Rattus norvegicus: one gene and its partner. The main gene of each other region encodes a partner of the protein of the gene in region 2 in a complex. Links are inferred from orthologs where the notes say so. Each region holds a gene or a part of one and is shown on either strand. Other genes may lie near its edges.

Region 1 (3,817 bases), on a different chromosome or scaffold from region 2:
GGTATGGAAGAACATACCTATAATCTCTGAGCTTGGAACATTGAGACAGGATAACTGAGTTTAACAGTGAGTCCAAGACTAGCCTGTCCTGCATAGTGAAACCCTCTCTCAATCAAATACATGAAAAAGAAAGCGGTCGATCTGCCTGTGTTCACAGACGCACAGAAGGCTAACACTTTTACCTTGGAGGATGCTATAAGTACTAAGTTAAAATTTATGTAAAGCACCTAGGATACAGTAAGTATTCAACAAGTGTTAGAGCAACTTACACTTCCATTAGCGCTTGAAAGGTTCTTTGAGGCCGTGTGGTAGAGATAACATGGGCCCTGTAATCAGACAAACCTAAGTTCAAAGCCTAGCCCTTACACTTAACTTTGTCTGACCTTGGATGAGTTACTTCACCTAAGTCTCACATCTTCATTCTGCTTCAGTGTCATATGACTAAATAGAATCATGTGTATGTATGTGTTGGGTTAAAAGGTTATATGACAGTTAAACAGGTTATATGCTCTAAATAGCACTGAAAACACACACTTTCATAGAGAAACCTCAAAAACAAAACAAGTAAACAAAAAAAGAAACAAAAATACATAATGATTATAGTTTCAAAAATAGAAAAAAAGAAGTAATATATTGGTGAGAAATATAATATATAAAGCTATACAATATGGTGTCCAGGCCTAGTTGCACAGGCCTATGATCCCAATTATTAGAAACCTGAGGCTGAAGGAACCCAAGTTGAAGCTTATACTGGGTATAAGTTCAACTGTAGTCTGGGCAACCTACTGAGATATTGTTTCAAAATAAGAAATACACATGGTAAGGCTGCAGCTCGGGAGTAGAATGCTTGTCTAGCAGGCAGGGGCTCGGAAATAGCAGCAGCAAAATAAGAAAAGTAAAGAATGGGGTACAACGTTCTAAATAATGGATGTCTCCGGGGAGACTTTATTCAAAAATTATTTTAAAAACTGGCACATTTCAAAAGTTACAAAATTTTGTATTAGTTACTTAAATTTTTTTTAAAATTTATTTATTTTCTGTATACGAGTACACTGTAGCTGTCTTCAGACATACCAGATCCCATTACAGATGGTTGTGAGCCACCATGTGGTTGCTGGGATTTGAACTCAGGACCTCTGGAAGAGCAGTCGGCGCTCTTAACCACTGAGCCATCTCTCCAGCCCCTTAAAATTTTTAAATAATATTTAGAAATAAACTTTATGTACTTTTTAACTTTATAAATGTATATGCTCATGAGATTCATCCAGATTTATTAAGAAAGTAAGAACCAGTCTATATGTCTACTGGTCTCATCAGCGTTGAAGCCATTGTAAGTCGTGCTGCATAAACGGACTACACTATGGTGAGTTCAATGGAACTTACAAGCTCACTTACCACTCTGGTAGTACTTGGAGTCATGTGTCCATCTGAAGCCAGTGCACAAGCCAAAGTCAGTCAATTTAATATGTCCATCTCGGTCAATCAAAATGTTATCAGGTTTAATGTCTCTATGAATAAAACCCATTTTATGAACACTTTCAACTGCACAGGTAAGTTCTGCTATGTAGAATCGTGCCAGGTTTTCGGGAAAGATGCCCATTCTAATTAACAGGCTCATCATATCACCCCCAGGAATGTAGTCCATCACAAAGTACAAGTTGTCCTTGTCCTGGAATGAGTAGTACAAGCGGACCACCCACTCGTTGTCAGCTTCTGCTAGGATATCTCGCTCAGCTTTCACATGAGCCACCTGATTTCGGAGCAGAACGTCTTTCTTTCGTAGAGTTTTTGTTGCATACAAAGCTTTCGTATCGACTTTTCTTGCTAGACAGACTTCACCAAATGCTCCTATTCCTAATGTCTTTATCTTTACAAACATAGACTTGTCCATTTTAGCCCTTTTAAGACGAATATAGTTAGACTCTTTCTGGCAAAGCATCTTTCTCATTTGATCCTGGGCATCTTGAGATAATCCAACCTAGGTAAATAAACTAGAGGTTAAATAAGGAATTGTATTAAATAGTAAGACACGGCTTAAAAAATAATTCAGGCATATTTTTGAAAGTTAAATGCATAATTTTTAATAAAGCATGTTAGAATTCTAGACTGTATTTCAGAGAAAAATTAATGATCAAGTCAAGCTTAAGAGATAGTAAACAATACACAAAGTGAGTATATATGCAAATCCAGCTGTGGGGAGCAACAAGAGGACATCAACAGTCAGGCTTCTACTCCTCTCTAAAGCACTCAAGGAATAGCTTCGAATGCACAATAAAACCAGTGTCTGTGAACACACATTCTCAGTTCTCGTCATGCACATCTCCAGACTACAGGGTCAGACACCTTCACTAAATCTTTTTTTGTAGAATGGCTAGGCCTCAAATATTTTCCCCTTGATTTTCTTTCACAGAAAGAATTCTTTCACTCTAGGTTCAATCATTCTTTAAAACAGGAAGGAAGGAGGGAGGAAGGAGGGAGGGAGGAAGGAGGGAGGGAGGGAGGAAGGGTGGCCTCAGCTGGTAAAGGCACCTCTGGCCAAGTCTGACTCTCTCCGTTAATCTAGGACCACATGGTGGGCAGAAGCAACCAACTCCTTCATGTTGTCCTCTGAACTCTACATGTTCTCTGAGCTAAAAAAATAAATAAAAGTCATGGTAATCTTCTTTTTCTTTCTTAGGATATCAGCATAAAGGTGAGACCCAGTCCACCTCTAACAAAGTACAAAAGGGATAACGTGCTTATCCTTTAGATATTCTGAAGTAGTTTTTAAAGTTCTTGTGAATAAGGGCACTATCACAATGGATGAACACAAAGGTCAGTTGTAAGCAGTGGACTTAGATGGCCTGTAGGGGTTCTTAGCTCAGGAAGAATTTACTAACGTTGAAAAGGACAAGACTTAGAAAAGTAGAGTCTAATTTTAGAAATGCAAGACTAATTTCAATACAGCAACCTCATGCTTCTGTTAGGATGTGCATTTGCATGCAATGTTTTTTCAGAGTGGTAGCATGCCAGACTTAGTACAGAACTCTTTCTCTTAAAATCTTACTTGCCTACACAGTAATGGAGGCTACAGAAGTCAGCAAAGCTTCCAACACCATGAAAGTTTAAGTCAGCTATTAGTGAAAGTGAAGAGGAAAAAGGAAAAATAAACTAAGAAAAATAGACAGACTTAAGTAAGAAATTCTAAGAACAATATGAATAAGAGAATTTGGGGTATTTCTCATTTAACATAATTATTTATAGTAAGAAAACAGTGTACTGAACTATAAAGTGAGATTTGAGAAGAAGCGTAATCTTCTCACACTTTGAGCAGTAGATGTCAAACAAGGGAGGAGTCAAAGCTTGGCGTTCTGAGCATAAGACAACACCATGATGGTGATAGTCCTACCCGGGAGCACAGCGAGCCCCGTCTCCTCCACACACCCAGCATTTCAGCACATTTTCCTCAAATATTAGAAGAGGAAAGTAACGGTAAAGCAATGGTTCTGACATTTCTTTTTACTTCTGTTTTTAGCTTTTTTCTTTGTGTGTGTGTGTGGGGGGGGGGGGCATGTGCTTTGCTGTATAGATGTGGGAACTAACAATGCAGACTGCTGGCCTCCGCCTCCTGAGTGCTGAGATTAAACGTGGGAGTCACCATGCCCAGTGATTTTAACACTTTCTAACAACGTGTATGTAAGGAATAAACATCAGATTCTCAACCAAATGACAATGCTTTCTATATGTATCAAGAGGTAACTCAGATATTTCTATCTGACTTGTGTATGTTGTAAAATAATGTATAAAATCTAGAACCTGTTGGATATTGGTAGCATAT
Region 2 (3,817 bases):
AGTTGAATTGCTGCTACACCCTCTTACTCTCACCGCCCTTCCCCCTCCCCCCCTCCCCCTCATCATTTAAGCCTCAATCCATTCTGACCTGGCTGCCTCAACTCCACCGAAAGGCTCCACCACACATCGCTGTTATCCCCTTCCCATGCCTTTGCCTGGTACATTTCTAACGCCCCCGTGGCTCCCTCCCGCTGAACCCAAGCTTTGCGGCAGCGGGGGAGGGGGCGGCCCTTGTCTGTTGTCAACACTGACCCCTCCAGCGGCTACATTTGCCATATCAACGGAGAGCTTAGATGAATTAATCCATTCATACTCAATTAGCCCAGCCAGGATCTGGATTCATTTTAGTAGGCGCTAAATATCTGTTGAGTGAAATCCACCACAAAACAAAACCCTAGCCCAGGGACCTAGCACATTCTACCTTTGTCAGGATCTACCAACCCCATAAAGACCCAGCCATCCACAGTCAGGAACTACGGCAGGAATCCCCCGCTTTCTGGTTCCCCATAAGGGCACTGTGCTCCTTACCCTGGCCCAGTGGTTTGCCCTCGGGTCCTGGTTCCTCCAGCCGGAATCTTTCCCGGGCGCCATCGGTGCCGAGGCTCAGCTCACAAAGAGTGGGGCTCAGCTCTGTGTCTTCAAACTCCAGAGGGGTCAGAAAGGCATCTCCAGCCAGGAGGGGGTCAGCGATGAGAGGGGAACAGGGAGGGGACGGGGAGGAGAGAGATGAGCGTGGAGACAGGGAGGTCATGGATCTTGGAGTGCCGGATAGGGAGCGCAGGGCCTGCAGGCGGCTGCCTCCCTCTGCCTTCTGAGTCTTGGCCACCTCATCCTCGTGGATGGTGGTGATGCAGCCTGAGGGCCGGAAGCCTGTGGCACCCTCCAGGAACAGCAGTTCTACTTTGCTCGGGAGCTCTGAGTCCAGCTGCTCGAACGGGTCGTAATAGAGGTCAGTGAAGCTGGCTGAGGTGGAGGAGTCCAGGCTAGAGGCAGCCAGGGAGCCCCGGCTGGACGTAAGTGACCCAGGGCTACTGCCTGAAGACAGTGATTGCATACTGCTGGAGAGGCTGGGGACAGGGAAAGGGAAAAGGTAACATGGAGTAAGGAGAACACTGGGGACTCCACCGGGCTTGGGAGTCATGAACATCATCTTCCCAGCCCACTTGACAGCCTAAGCTGGACCATGCACCCAGTTTCACTGAGGAGAAAATAGAGATCTAGAGAGAGCTGGGGGCCCAGAGTAGCAGAGCAGGTACCCGTGAGCCTCTTGCTTAGTAGCTCAGGCTAGCCTTAAACTCCTGATGCTCTGAGTCCTGAGATCATACACCTGGAAACCCCACACCCGGATCCCACTTTTCTCCTCTTCTATCTTTGTTTCTTATTGGCCACACTGCATCTTTATTAAAACATTTCTTTTGCTTGTTTCCTTGGATCGGTTGACTGAGATAGGATCTGACTGTGCCGCTCTGGCAGGCCTAAGACTTGATATGTAGACCAGGATGGTCTTGAACTCACAGAGATAAGGCCTGCCTCTGCCTCCTGAGTGCCCCTGGGATTAAAGACATCTGCCACACTTAGTACCTTTCTTGAAATCGACTCCCATTTTTTTCTTTTTCTTTCCTTTTTTTTGGAGGTGGGGGTAGGGGGCACATACAGACCTGAGGCTGGCCTTGAACTTCCAGTCTCCCCGATTCTCCTCCCACCTGCTAAATGCTGGGATTACAAGTGCACCCCTTCACACTCTGCTCTAGTCACTTTTTTTTTCCCAAAATTTTTTGTTTTGTTTTTTTGTTATAGGGCCTCTCTCTGTGTAGTTCTGGCTGTCCTGGAACTTGCTATGTGGACCAGGCTGGCCTCAGAGAGCAGCCTGCCTCTACCTCCCAAGTGCTGGGATTAAAGATATGGGATACCAATACCATACTAGAATGTAATTCACTTTTTAAAAAAAATGATAAAATATTTAACTTAAAAGGAGATCTAACATCATAAATGACCATCGAAAGGTTATTTATTGGTATAAACAGGAAGAAACCACTTTTGTTGGGGATGAGAGGCGGGGTGCTTTTAATGCTACTATGAAGTTCCAGTCATATACTTCAACCATCAAGGCCTGAGCTTACGGAAAAACCTACTACATGCTGTAAACGTGGGCTAGAAGGCAGACCCAACGGGCATCTCCCAGGGGCTGTCTCTGTTTGTAGAGTCCCACGGGATGAAGCACCCTGTGGCCGGCCACCCTAGCCAAGCCTGTATCAGCTAGAATGACAACCTTCTATGCTTCTAAATGTCTTTCCTCAAGCCACGGAGGAATGGCTTGTATGGAACTTGTACGAATGGCAGTGTGGAACTGGGCCTTCCCCACGGGGATGGTCACCGCCCACCACTCACCTTTTCAACTGAGAGTGCAGGGCGGCCACCTGCCGCGTGGCTTCCTCCAGTTCTCGCACCAGCTGGTTCCTCTTGCTGTTTAACTTCAACCTGAGGGAGAGGAGGTAAGACAATCAGCTCCAAAGGGATGCAATGCTCCAGCTCCTCCTGCGATCTCCGGAAAAGAGAATAAGGCCCAGGCCCTTAAAGGCACCAGGCCAAGGGTGCAGGCACAGGAACTGGGTAGAAACGTACCACAGTGCTGTGGAGAGGCAGAAGCTCTTTATACACAAATTCTATAGTAAGTGTGCAGCCACCTGCGACACCTTAGAGACTAAGCTAGGAACCGAACACATGGCACCGATGTAGGATGTATTGATATGTGCCTGGGGAGAATGATTTTAACAGCTTTACAAAATGAGAAAATTTGAGGCTCTTAGTTACATAGTTTACTCAAAACTATGGAATTAGTGGAAGAATTAGGATTCCACCAAACTACCATTCTTTCCTTCTCCTGCTTCAGCTGCTACCCCCTCCCTTCCCTCCCTCCTTCCTTTCACCAACTAATGTTTACCCAGGTGACACTGGATGCTGTTTCCAGCACCAGGGACAGAGCGGCGAGGGACAGAACTCATTGCTTCTCTTACAGAACATGGAGGGTGGAAGACAACAGGCGTCTAATTAGAGCGCGGTGCTAACGAGGTCCGAAAACAAACAAACAAACAAACGAACAAACAAACAAAACGAAAAAAATCAAAAGCAGAGAAAGGAATCCCTAATTGAGAATGAGAAAATGGCTTCATGATCGTATTTCTGGCACCTACCCTTGGTTGTGTCTTCCTGGGTTCCCAGGATCAAAGCTAGATCACTTTCCCGGGCTCCCTAACATCTGGCTGAGGCACGTGAGCAAGCTCTGGCCAATGGGATATAAGCAGAAACCGTGTGTATCAGACTGAAGTGGTCAAGGAAAGTGTTCCTCAGTCTCTGTGGCCTTAAAGGGGAGGTGGGCAAGCTGTGGCCTCTTCAACAACAAGGGAGGCCGCCTAAGATATTGTATGGGTAAGAAATAAACTTCAAGAGAGCTTATCCACAGAGGTTTGGGGCTGTTGCTTACAGCAATTGGATCAAACTAATAAGAGAAATCGAAGTGGCTCACTAGACAGAAAGGAGTCGGGAAGGAAGGGTTCTCTTTTCCTAGATGAAGAGGCTGAGATCATTCACTCTGCCGGGGGGTCTGGATGATAAATTTCCACGTCAAGGTGACTCACTGCTCCTCTCTGTCACCCTGCTGGAGAAGCAACTGAATGACCCTCGCTCCCTGGACTCAGGAAGGGACCAAGAACTCAGCCAGCCCAGCCTGTGGCCAGAGGGCAAGGGCTGGTTTACACACACACACACACACACACACACACACACACACACACACACTCACTCAAACCAAACCACGCCA

The links.
Region 1: the proteins of Wwc1 (region 2) and Lats1 are in contact, whole or in part, in a crystal structure (PDB 6J68), measured with the Mus musculus proteins. The link is inferred for Rattus norvegicus from reciprocal best matches to the Homo sapiens genes WWC1 and LATS1. Residues at the interface, in NP_740749.1 of Mus musculus: Asp17, Tyr23, Ile25, Asp26, His27, Arg30, Thr31, Thr32, Ser33, Trp34, Asp64, Val67, Tyr70, Ile72, Asp73, His74, Lys77, Thr78, Thr79, Gln80, Ile81; in NP_034820.1 of Mus musculus: Ala546, Glu547, Ala548, Pro549, Ser550, Tyr551, Gly553, Pro554, Pro555, Pro556, Pro557, Tyr558, Leu562, Leu563.

Annotation. Positions count from the first base shown.
Region 1 is NC_086019.1:4,001,301-4,005,117, reverse strand, and holds part of Lats1 (serine/threonine-protein kinase LATS1), read right to left. Parts: intron 3,114-3,817; coding exon of another isoform or gene 3,105-3,113; exon of another isoform or gene 3,051-3,104; intron 1,979-3,050; coding exon 1,396-1,978; intron 1-1,395. UniProt on the Homo sapiens protein: Negative regulator of YAP1 in the Hippo signaling pathway that plays a pivotal role in organ size control and tumor suppression by restricting proliferation and promoting apoptosis.
Region 2 is NC_086028.1:20,839,888-20,843,704, forward strand, and holds part of Wwc1 (protein KIBRA), read right to left. Parts: intron 2,479-3,817; coding exon 2,389-2,478; intron 1,068-2,388; coding exon 529-1,067; intron 1-528. UniProt on the Homo sapiens protein: Regulator of the Hippo signaling pathway, also known as the Salvador-Warts-Hippo (SWH) pathway.